Linked DNA regions of Saccharomyces cerevisiae S288C. The protein of the gene in region 3 interacts with the protein of the main gene of each other region in a pairwise test. Each region holds a gene or a part of one and is shown on either strand. Other genes may lie near its edges.

Evidence for each region.
Region 1: the proteins of SEC26 (region 3) and RET3 interact in binary tests that used the Saccharomyces cerevisiae proteins (3 or more experiments, as listed by UniProt).
Region 2: the proteins of SEC26 (region 3) and ERV41 interact in binary tests that used the Saccharomyces cerevisiae proteins (3 or more experiments, as listed by UniProt).

What each region holds. Positions count from the first base shown.
Region 1 is NC_001148.4:533,030-536,158, reverse strand, and holds RET3 (coatomer subunit zeta), read right to left. Parts: upstream 1,142-3,129; coding exon 572-1,141; downstream 1-571. Other genes in the region: RQC2 (Rqc2p), read left to right, coding at 1-339; TAF3 (Taf3p), read left to right, coding at 1,456-2,517; mRNA-binding protein RRP12, read right to left, coding at 2,750-3,129. UniProt on the Saccharomyces cerevisiae protein: The coatomer is a cytosolic protein complex that binds to dilysine motifs and reversibly associates with Golgi non-clathrin-coated vesicles, which further mediate biosynthetic protein transport from the ER, via the Golgi up to the trans Golgi network.
Region 2 is NC_001145.3:138,423-142,061, forward strand, and holds ERV41 (Erv41p), read right to left. Parts: upstream 1,793-3,639; coding exon 1,762-1,792; intron 1,669-1,761; coding exon 641-1,668; downstream 1-640. Other genes in the region: ITT1 (RBR-type E3 ubiquitin transferase), read left to right, coding at 1-522; SMA2 (Sma2p), read right to left, coding at 2,002-3,111. UniProt on the Saccharomyces cerevisiae protein: Constituent of COPII-coated endoplasmic reticulum-derived transport vesicles. Required for efficient transport of a subset of secretory proteins to the Golgi. The C-terminal Ile-Leu motif is required for exit from the endoplasmic reticulum.
Region 3 is NC_001136.10:937,289-942,591, reverse strand, and holds SEC26 (coatomer subunit beta), read left to right. Parts: upstream 1-1,775; coding exon 1,776-4,697; downstream 4,698-5,303. Other genes in the region: YDR239C (uncharacterized protein), read left to right, coding at 1-1,535; mitochondrial 54S ribosomal protein uL5m MRPL7, read right to left, coding at 5,099-5,303. UniProt on the Saccharomyces cerevisiae protein: The coatomer is a cytosolic protein complex that binds to dilysine motifs and reversibly associates with Golgi non-clathrin-coated vesicles, which further mediate biosynthetic protein transport from the ER, via the Golgi up to the trans Golgi network.

The DNA.
Region 1 (3,129 bases), on a different chromosome or scaffold from region 3:
TCTCTCGATAAGGGCGATGTGGTTGATGATATTATACCAGTATTTGCCCCCTGGCCTGCGCTTTTGAAATATAAATACAAAGTCAAAATACAACCGGGAAGTGCGAAGAAAACTAAGACTTTAACTGAAATTTTACATTATTTCAAGAGTAGACCACTAGACGGTTCTTCAACTGACAACGAAATGGATTGGCCCCAAGAACATGAAATGATTAAAGGCTTGAAGGAACAGGACTTGGTTCTTCTGCTCTGTGTCGACAAGTTAAAAGTAACAATCGCTGGGCAGAAATCCACCAAGAACGGTGGTAACTCTTCGAAGAAGGGCAAAAAAAAACGCTAAATCATATGAGATGAAAAGAAAATAGACAGCAATTATAATTTTTTCATTATTTTTCATCACAGACCAACGAGAAGAATAAAATGATTAGCATGAGGTGACAATCATTTCTAAATGAGCAACATATACTTATATATATAAGTAGATACATATATATGGAAGGGAGAAAGTAAGACACTGCATATATACCATATAAGACCAGCTAAAATTTTCTTCTATCCGCTTTGCCTTGTGATCATAAGCCTTGCTGTAACCTTTCTTGAAACTTGCTCTTTGCGAAACCCCACGCGCCTAAGAAACCCTTATCCAAATCTAATGCCATTTGGGGTTCGTTCGTAGGTGGTTTAGAAACTCTGGATGCAATAGTGTTAGAGTCAGTTTCGAGGATAACACCATTATCAATGGTTTCATCAATAGCTAATAAAACCATATCATAGTTTTCTTGGATGTTTTTTTTGTCCATTCCTGAGTTCAAAATCAAATCCAAAGCTCCTCTGATTGCTGAAAATCCTTGCTGAAGAACAATTTCATTCTCTTCCAGCGAAGCAACTAAATATATCGTGATATCAATGTATTCTTTGTAAAGGACTAAATGATCCTCGAAGATTAAAATCTCCGAATCTTGCTTGTGAGTCTTACGGTATAGTTGTTTCTCAAACTCTTTTTGCTTCTTCACCGAATTGAAGAGCAATTGGTGTCCTTCATCAGATCTATGAGGAGGTTGATAATACTTTGCATAAATTCGTTCTCCTTGCTGATCTAGTATTAAAACAGCCTGAACAGTATATAGCGATAAAGAAGACATCCTGGAACAATGATGCACAGTACTCAAAATTAGCAAGCCAGCTCACAAACAAAACCTAAATGCCTAAAGAACTTCTGTCTAGCAATAACTTCGATATTCCACACCTTGTAGCCTAAACAATGCAAACGTGTTTTTTCACTTGACAGAAGTGGCGAAACGGGTAAGCTCGCGATGCTTTAGTTTTTTTTTTCAGTAATTTCATATTGCATGATGAAGGTATGCTAATATAACACTTGAAGTAGCTTCCTGAGCAATTCCAAATCACCTACTAGCGGAAAACAGCGATATCTTTGGGTCAATAGAGTTCCTCTGCTATGACTACAAATAATGACTTCTATTTTGCTCTACTACGCATATCTATTCTCCAATTATTGAAGGCACAAGGATTTGACAGGGCAAGGCCCAGTCTGGTGGATGTCATGACCGATCTCTATGCAAAATTCTTGAGTTTGTTAGCATCAGAGGTCAGTTCTATCGCTCAGGCAAGATGTGATCAGGACGATACAATTGCTTTACAAGATATAACTCTGGCTCTGGAAAATCTAGGTATTGTTAAGCCTACGAACGTTCTGGATGTCTATGATGAAAACTCCGAATTATCAAGTTCACGAGGAATGGAAAAGTTCAAGGACTGGTGTATTTATAGTACTCAATTGACCGACGCGCGAATAACTGCCTTACCCACAGTAGAATTACTACAAAGTGAGGAAAAAGAATCTGATCCTTTGTCAGCAATACCTGACTATCTCAATCAATTACTGCAAAACAAGGGTGCGAAACAGAAATTAGAAACAAAGAATAGAAAAACAGAGTTGATAGAAGATCTAATAAATAATAATGGATTAGATGATTGGATCAAATTAGTCATTGCTAGACAACGTATAAACATGATTGAAAGAGCTTCCAAAAAAGAATCTCAAAATGTACCGGCTTTACCACATATTGCAGGCTATAAATCTTCCATTCTAAGCCGCCATCACCACACTACCATAACAAACGAAGATAGGATGCCTTCGGCGATGACCCCAAGAGATGAGGATGCCTTAACAGAGATCCAAGAAAATCCATTTGTAACTAGCAAACTGCCGATAATGAGAAAAGAAAATAGGTTAGAAAATATAACTCTTTCATTTGAGGATGAGGAGCTTGAATCACTTGGCGAAGTGGAAGGCCCTAACCAAAAGTCTCAAGAAAATAACAATGAGGAAAGTTTTAAAGAGAACAATAAAAGTTTAACAGAGTCTCCTCATGGTGATGACCGTGACATATCAATGTTTCAATTCGACTCAAATGTTGATACTAAATGGGCAGAGCAGGAAGATATGGACAGCACATTTCAACGTCGAACCTCACTAGATTATGGGGGTTACTTTTAAAACGACATTTCTGCATTTTCTTTCGTCATTATCTCATCCATATTTAATTAACCTCACATTATTACTATATAGTGTACTTTCGCTTCTTCAAGATAATAAGCAATTAAACGCCCGATTCATTTTTTTCTTTATTTTAATCATTTTTAATATACAGTATTATAATATTCTTATATATACATATCTGATTTTTTCTCCAGGTGTGTAATTAGCCATATTGCTCAGTTTCAATCTTCTATAATTTTTTTCTAGATTTGAACTTTGGACCTTTCTTATTATGTTTGCCAATCTTGTTACCTTGATTTACTCTTCCTCTCATTAGCCTACTATCCTTTTCACCATCATCATCATCGCCAAATTCATCAGAGTCCTTTCCATTTTTCCTGAATTTCAGCTTGTTTCTTTGACCTCTTACAGGACCACTTTTCACAGCCTCTAGATACGCATTGATTCCGCTTGTCACAGCACTCAATGGATCGTCTACATTAGTAGAGGGTTTAGGTTGCCCCTTGACAACGAGTTTTCCTTCTGAGTCAAAGTTAAACGCATCATCATTAAACCTTGCTCTATTTTGATTCTTATTGAATTTCTTTGGTCTGGTAGATGATATATGAG
Region 2 (3,639 bases), on a different chromosome or scaffold from region 3:
TATGCTTGTGTGACTTGTCGAAGATGTGATAGTTGGTGCACAAAAGAAGACCTCGATGATGCGATGATTCAGTGTCAAAAATGTCATTTTGTATTTTGCTTTGACTGCTTGCATGCCTGGCATGGTTACAACAATAAATGTGGCAAGAAAGTTTCGTTATCGACCGATATTATTGAGGAATATCTAGATGATACCGTTACTTCATATGAGAGAAAGCGGAAACTGGAGGCAAAATATGGGAGAAGAGTATTAGAACTTGAAGTCAATGATTACCTTGCTGAAAAAATGTTAGATTTAGCGATTAAAAAAGAGGGTTCGAATTTGCAGCGATGTCCAAAGTGTAAGGTAGTTGTAGAAAGAAGTGAAGGTTGCAATAAAATGAAATGCGAAGTATGCGGGACGCTGTTCTGTTTTATATGCGGAGTATTACTTTATCCTGAGGACCCTTATGAACATTTTAGAGAAGCATATTCAGGCTGTTATGGACGATTGTTTGAAGGTATGCCTGGCACAGAAACTTGAGTGCGATCGCTCTGCCTTCAGTCTCACACTTTTTCTTATAATCTATTGTCATGAAATTTATACAGATGAAAATGAAACGTTATCTTGGGTATACTGCATTCTCTTTTCTTTTACATATCTACCTATCTAAAATACCCTTAGTTTTATCATCTGGCTGATAACGCAAGGACCACTTAGGTCCCATGATGGTGATAAGAGCCATATCCAGTAGTGTGAAAATCCACGAAGCACAGTAGACCAAAAATGAGCAGATTGCCACTAATCTGACCAAAAACTGTATAAAGCTTAAACGAACATCAGAAACTACTATGGATAATGGTTCGAAATTGTATTTGAAGAAGATGCCCGGCATTTTATCACCTTTAGCAGCGACATCTTTGTACAAATAGCGGTAATCGTTAACAGAATATTGATTAGTATCCACTTCTGCCCCCAATTTCTTGAAAAGAGTGGGCACAACAGATGTGTAATAGACGTAAGTAGTTAAAGGTTCATCCTGATTAAACTGTGCAGTGTTATCCAATGGGTTATCAATATATGGATAGAAATCACCAAAAGAGAACTCATTAATAACATGATTAAATTTTAATTCTTCCAGTGGTGCTTTGCGTGAAGCCACGTAACCTAAACTCTTCGCTGTAATCTGCAATTCGCCACTAACTCTATTTACCGGAATGGACCCAAATACATGGCACCCATTGAATTCCGGAAGATGTGCCTTGTTAGGATCACTTTCATCAAAAAATGACCTAGTATCTAGTTTTTCTCTAAATTCTGCTGGGATAGCTTCCCCTAAGATTTCATCCAATTCCGGCGTAATAATTTCATTGATATCATTGACTTTTGTGTCATAAGGAATAAAGAATGGCATCTCTTCCAATTGCAATTCCTCTAATACAAGTTTCCGATCCATTGTTTGGTCTCTGACGTTGATTTGCAACCAATCACATTTCGTGTTGACGTATATATCCATATTAATTTGAACGGTATCTCTAACTTGACTGTCCACTACGTACTGCTGGTCAATATAACCACCGAAGTATTCACCAAACTCGGTCCATGCTATAAACAACAGAAACAGATATGTCAACAAAGATGTTAAGCCACCCTTGGTGGATTTCTTCTTGTACTGTTCTTCAGTTTTTGCTGTAAAGTTAAATTTCCATTGTTAGTGAAAAAGCAAAAGCAAAAATAAAATATGCTGAAGCGGGCTACTTCAGAAAAATCCATATAACATACGAAACGCATCAAATGTCTTCAATCCTGCCATTATATACTCCTGAAGTCTCTGCCTGTACGTTACAGCAAAAGCATTTTGGAGGAACGCTTTTCTCAGTAAGAATAGAACATTGATAATATCTTTTCAAAGCCTTGACCGAGCGGGAAAAAAGGACGTTATGCAAAAATACTTAATATACTGAAAGGCTGTGTATATGTTTACATATTTACTGTCATTTGAAAAAAAAGTTCTGTGGTGAATTACTTCTCCATCAAGTCTGGAGAAGGGGAGTTAGATGTGTCTTCTGTATACTTATCAGACTTTTTGGGCTTAGCTTTGTAATGATTTGCTGCAAGAAATGCGAGTACCAATAGGACCCACTGGATGGCATACCTGGCGAGCCCCATAATGAACCCACTTCCCACGTTTACTTTTAACAGTTCCCAGCCTGTAGTGTGTACAGCAGCGTTGTCAGATCCTACGTCTGTTACCTCTTCAGGTTCTAATGTTTTCAGTGCAATCAAATATACGATGTTACATAATATTGTCAATGTAGCAATAACAACTAATATTGAACTTGATGACTTCAAAAGCATAGGAAATAAGCGGTGTCGTTTCCCAACACTAAGTGCTCCCCCAAAGGCTGACACTACGCAGATACTGAGGAATCCGACTATTATTTCCAACACTGCAAAGTAAAAAACCATGCCGTTGAACATCATCAGTATAAATGCCAGGTTGACGCCTTTCAGATAGTTTTTTGTTGGTGACACGCCTTTTACATTTGGATCAGGACTGCCAATCAAAGCCTTTGATAGGGCATTTCCTGTGTGCTTGTCGTGTTTCAAAAAATCACGAATAGATGTCAATGCCAAACGGTAGGTCAATACGAGAGAGTCTCCGAATTTTTTGGTTTCATTCGATCGTGTAGTGGAAATGTTACCTAATTGAATCCCGACGTCTCTGACAAGTACTTCAAGTACGTCCATGCCATAATTCTCATTAGAGGTACAATAAACTTTGCTTTTATTACTCCGTTTACAAAATCCAAAATAATTGAGCTCAAAAACCTTATCAGGCTGAAATGTGTCCACCAAATTTTCATCCTCATACACACTTGGATCAGTGAATTCATTCGACCAACCCATGTCAATTGTCAGGTACGAAATCAATCGCAGAAATTCTCTTACACTTGCAATAAACTCATTTGCAGTACTGGATCCTCCAATCACAGTTATAGTAAACTGTGGAGCGCATAACCTAAGTCCCTTAGAGTTCGTACATGTTGTGGCTGGCAGGTAGAGGACAAATTGTGATAAACTTAAAATCAATAGAACACCCCACACAATCAGACGTTTAGGGAATAACATGCTCGCCCTTTTATATTATGACAGAAAGAATATATATATTCATATATAACATGCTTCTATTTATTAGTTTTATCTTTTAATTGATGGATGTGTCCATAGAATTTAAGTAAGTGCATGGTATGGAGTGTATAATGGTTTATAATTTCCCCTAAGATGACACAAAAAAATGTTCTCCCAAAAATTTACCAAGAAAAAAAATTAAGAATACTACACAATTGATGCTTGGGTTATTTTAAATATCCGGTACATTCTATTACAAATATGTTTGTACAATGTAAGCCCCTTCATAATGGTCAGTATTAAGATAAGGACTGCTATGGGGCATTTTTTGTCTTACTGGGTATCACAGGATAATAACTTGGCGCCAAATTAGAAAAGATATAAACCTCAAATATTTGAAATTCTTTGGTGACCTGTCTCATCGTTATATCAACAAATATTGCACCAACGAACACCACTACATATGTAACTACTCTCTTCCTCGACTTATTTTTTATTAACGTTGACACGGCCAGATCGAAAATCATA
Region 3 (5,303 bases):
ACGGAAATTTAGTACAATCAGATCATCTAAAAGAATTTTCTTCGAATCTGGATGATGGGGATGATAAATTTTCCTTTAGTACATCGGCTAGTGGTAAATCCACCAAAAGCCTTCAGCAAGTTTCTAAAGACGAATCTAGTGGTTTTAAAGCTGCACATTTTGATTTTGCATATAAATCAAATGAGCACCTTGGGAGTGATGGAAGTATTGCAAGCGCCAGAAAGCCTCTGCGGATAACTAATGAGATTGATAGCGGTTCTTCCAACGAGGATGATGATGATGGTCTTCAGGAAAAAGGTTTTGTGGATAGTGAAAGTAAAGCATTTATAAATTACGCAAGTGATCAAGGCTCATCTATAAAAAATGACGTCTCAACACAAGAGCCTGAGTTACCAAGTCATCGTAGAATATTTAGGGTGGTTAATGAAGATCGCCCTAGTTTCTATTTAAATAGTGTAAACGATACGGGCAGTCTAACCGACAAGCATTCTTTTGACACTGCATCATCTGGTGAGTATGATGCCAAGTCAAACTTCTCTAGCCAGTCAGGACTTTCTATATCAAAAGGCTCTAAATCAACTGTTTTGGCTGCTCTTGACTCAAACGGAAACACAAAATCATCAAATAAAACATCCGAGTTAAACAGTTTAAACTCCATTTCAGAAAGTTTAGTGCCGGCTGCTCACTCGTTCAATGAACACACAGTTACTATCCCTGCAACGGTGGATTTACCAAATCCGGTACATGATGCCCCAAGCGAAAGATCTGTCAAATGTTCACCGTTAACATCTGTCGTATCGAACAAATCGGAAAAGTCCGTGCCTTTGGTTTCTAGTTACGTAGAAGAACTGCGACTAAAGTATTACAAGACTTCTAACTTTTTACAAGCGCCTCCTAACTTGCCGGTTGCTCTAAAACAAAAAAATAATTTGATTCAACCCAAGAATATTAAGGTCAAGTTGAGGACAAGTTCTAAGCAAATTGGTATCAAGCATGGTAAAGTTAAACAGAAATTACTGGCGTTGGAGACAAGAAATGAAGAATCAGATGGAACCGCTACAGGGCTGAAAAATAAAATCAATGTTGACCACACAAAGGAATTCCATAAATTGTTAGGGAAGGAAAATGAAACTGGCTCTATTTCAAAAAAAGAAGGCACTGACGCAGAACAAGCCGAAGACTACCTCAAGGACATACCCGGTGATGAAGCATATAACAGTGATGATATAATGGCGCCTTTACGAGAAAAAAGAGGGCAAAACGGTTCTGTTGATTCCGTGTCAAGATCTAACACGGTAGTCAGCTACTACACAAGGTCTCAGAACAGAATGAGAAGTGGAACACTGGATAATGATTACGTGAACAGACAAAAGCTTCCTACACATATCTCTCTTCAAGATTATCGTGATGCTAATGCTAGAAGTAATATATCGCGTCAGGACTCTGTCTCCACAACGAACTCTGATGTGGTAGACCTCAGCTATTCTCTGGGGCATGGCTTGCGTGTGGCAAACCCTGATTCAGACCCAGAATGATATCCTTCTCTGTAGTTTTGTAGATGTCATATATGTACGTTTATGGAACAGCATTTTAGAAAAGTATTACCCAGCTTATCACTTCGTTTTTTTTTTCTTTCCGTGTACTCGCTACACGTAGAAAGAAATCAGAAAACAACAGCTCGACAAGTGAAATTTGACGTTCATTAAGACTCAGTTAAGATTGCCTTGAGAATAAACAAAAGTAATCACAGTTAACTATTGAACAAGAGTGCACCTATGACTTCACTTTCTTCACAGCCAGCGTACACGTTGGTTTTCGATCCTTCTCCGAGTATGGAGACTTACTCGAGTACCGATTTTCAGAAAGCTCTTGAAAAGGGATCTGATGAACAAAAAATTGACACGATGAAATCAATTTTAGTTACAATGCTGGAAGGAAATCCAATGCCTGAATTGTTGATGCACATAATAAGATTTGTCATGCCTTCTAAAAATAAGGAATTAAAAAAGCTTTTGTACTTCTACTGGGAAATTGTTCCCAAACTAGCTGAAGATGGAAAATTGAGACATGAAATGATTCTTGTCTGTAATGCCATTCAACACGATTTGCAACATCCTAATGAATATATTAGAGGTAACACATTAAGGTTTTTAACGAAATTGAGAGAGGCCGAACTCTTAGAACAGATGGTTCCCTCTGTCTTAGCGTGCTTGGAATACCGTCATGCATATGTTCGTAAGTATGCAATCCTAGCAGTTTTCTCCATTTTCAAGGTCAGCGAACATTTACTTCCCGATGCTAAAGAAATCATCAATTCGTTCATAGTAGCTGAAACTGATCCAATATGTAAAAGAAATGCATTTATTGGGTTAGCTGAATTAGATCGTGAAAATGCCTTACACTATTTAGAGAACAATATTGCTGATATAGAAAACCTAGACCCTTTATTACAAGCTGTCTTTGTTCAATTTATCAGACAAGATGCAAACAGGACCCCTGCTTTGAAAGCCCAATATATCGAATTATTGATGGAACTGCTTTCGACCACGACTTCCGATGAAGTCATCTTCGAGACCGCATTAGCCCTAACTGTGTTGTCTGCCAATCCAAATGTCTTGGTTCCTGCGGTTAACAAATTGATTGACTTGGCCGTCAAGGTTTCTGATAATAACATTAAGTTAATTGTTCTAGACCGTATTCAAGACATCAATGCTAATAACGTAGGTGCTTTGGAAGAGTTAACCCTGGATATTTTGAGAGTCTTGAATGCAGAAGATTTAGACGTTCGTTCAAAGGCGCTTGATATTTCAATGGACTTGGCCACATCCAGAAATGCTGAAGATGTTGTTCAGCTTTTGAAGAAAGAGCTGCAAACAACCGTAAATAACCCAGATCAAGACAAGGCAATGCAGTACAGACAATTGTTAATAAAAACTATTCGTACCGTGGCTGTAAACTTTGTAGAAATGGCAGCAAGTGTTGTTTCGCTATTATTAGATTTCATCGGTGATTTAAACTCGGTTGCCGCCAGTGGTATCATTGCCTTTATCAAAGAAGTGATCGAAAAATACCCACAACTTAGAGCCAATATCCTTGAAAACATGGTTCAAACGCTAGACAAAGTGAGATCTGCTAAAGCTTACCGCGGTGCATTATGGATTATGGGTGAGTATGCTGAAGGAGAAAGTGAGATACAACATTGTTGGAAGCACATTCGTAACAGCGTAGGTGAAGTTCCTATCCTTCAATCAGAAATCAAAAAGTTAACACAAAACCAAGAACACACCGAAGAAAATGAGGTTGACGCTACCGCCAAGCCAACTGGTCCAGTTATTCTACCAGACGGTACGTATGCCACTGAAAGCGCTTTCGATGTGAAGACTTCTCAAAAGTCAGTTACCGATGAAGAACGTGATTCTAGACCTCCAATTCGCCGGTTTGTTTTAAGTGGTGATTTCTACACAGCTGCCATTCTGGCCAACACCATCATTAAACTTGTTTTAAAATTCGAAAACGTTTCCAAGAACAAAACTGTCATCAATGCTCTAAAGGCGGAAGCTTTACTAATTTTAGTTAGTATTGTAAGAGTGGGTCAAAGCTCTTTGGTGGAGAAAAAAATTGATGAAGATTCTTTAGAGAGAGTTATGACATCTATTTCTATTTTATTGGATGAAGTTAATCCTGAGGAAAAGAAGGAAGAAGTTAAACTTCTGGAGGTTGCATTCCTGGACACCACCAAATCCTCATTCAAGAGACAAATTGAAATTGCAAAGAAGAACAAGCATAAGAGAGCATTAAAAGACAGTTGCAAAAACATCGAACCAATTGATACGCCGATTTCTTTCAGGCAATTTGCTGGTGTGGATTCTACTAATGTGCAAAAAGATAGTATTGAAGAAGATTTACAACTGGCAATGAAAGGAGATGCAATCCACGCTACTAGCAGCTCTAGTATTTCGAAGCTGAAGAAGATAGTACCTTTATGTGGCTTTTCTGATCCAGTTTACGCCGAGGCTTGTATTACAAACAATCAATTTGACGTCGTATTAGATGTTCTTCTTGTTAATCAAACGAAAGAAACATTGAAAAACCTACATGTGCAATTTGCAACTCTTGGTGATTTGAAGATTATTGACACACCACAGAAGACCAACGTGATTCCTCATGGCTTCCACAAATTCACTGTTACTGTCAAAGTTTCCTCTGCTGACACAGGTGTCATTTTCGGTAATATTATTTATGATGGTGCGCATGGTGAAGATGCTCGTTATGTTATTTTAAACGACGTTCATGTTGACATTATGGATTATATCAAACCAGCCACTGCTGACGATGAACATTTCCGTACCATGTGGAATGCATTTGAGTGGGAGAACAAAATATCGGTCAAATCACAACTACCAACATTGCATGCTTATTTGAGAGAACTGGTCAAGGGAACTAATATGGGTATTCTAACACCATCAGAGTCGTTGGGAGAAGATGATTGTAGGTTCTTAAGTTGTAATCTGTATGCGAAGTCGTCCTTTGGTGAAGATGCCCTAGCCAACTTGTGTATCGAAAAGGATTCCAAAACCAATGATGTCATAGGTTATGTTCGTATCCGATCAAAGGGACAAGGTTTGGCTCTGTCCCTAGGTGACAGAGTGGCATTGATTGCTAAGAAGACCAATAAACTTGCTCTCACTCATGTTTGAACCACCCTGAGCTGATGCAATGTAAGTTATAATGTCAAAGGAGATAAGAATAAAACTTAAAAAATTCGAAAAGAAATAAAAAAATAAGGAAAATCTTTAAATAGATTTTAATTGCGTAGGAATCTTTGTTCTCATTTTTAAACAAGTATTCACTTTTATGTACATTTTCTTTCCTAAAAATCTTTATACAGAGTTGAGTTGTGAGTTGTGTAAGAGACGTCCAATTTTATAACAATTTGTAGACATCTCAGTGCCCCAAAGAGAACTATATGATTGAAAAATGGAGAGAGATAGTATCTTGTACAGTTTATATATTTACATGACGAATGGGAAATTATATATGCCCTTTGCCTTTCTGCCATAGAGCATGGCTAACTGGCCAGGACCATGAGATTGTATTCTTATTTCTCCTCTCCGAAAAATGGGAACTGGAACCCACTCAACAAAGTTCTCGCCTGGTAATCTAATTGAGCTGAGGTGTTTATATTTATGTGCATACCAAAAGTTTTAGGCCATGAGTCCTGGTTTGCATCGATTTCAGGGAAGAATTTGATATCTTCAGCCGTCAGGCCGAAACTAATCCCACCAAATCTGTTCCCAGACTGG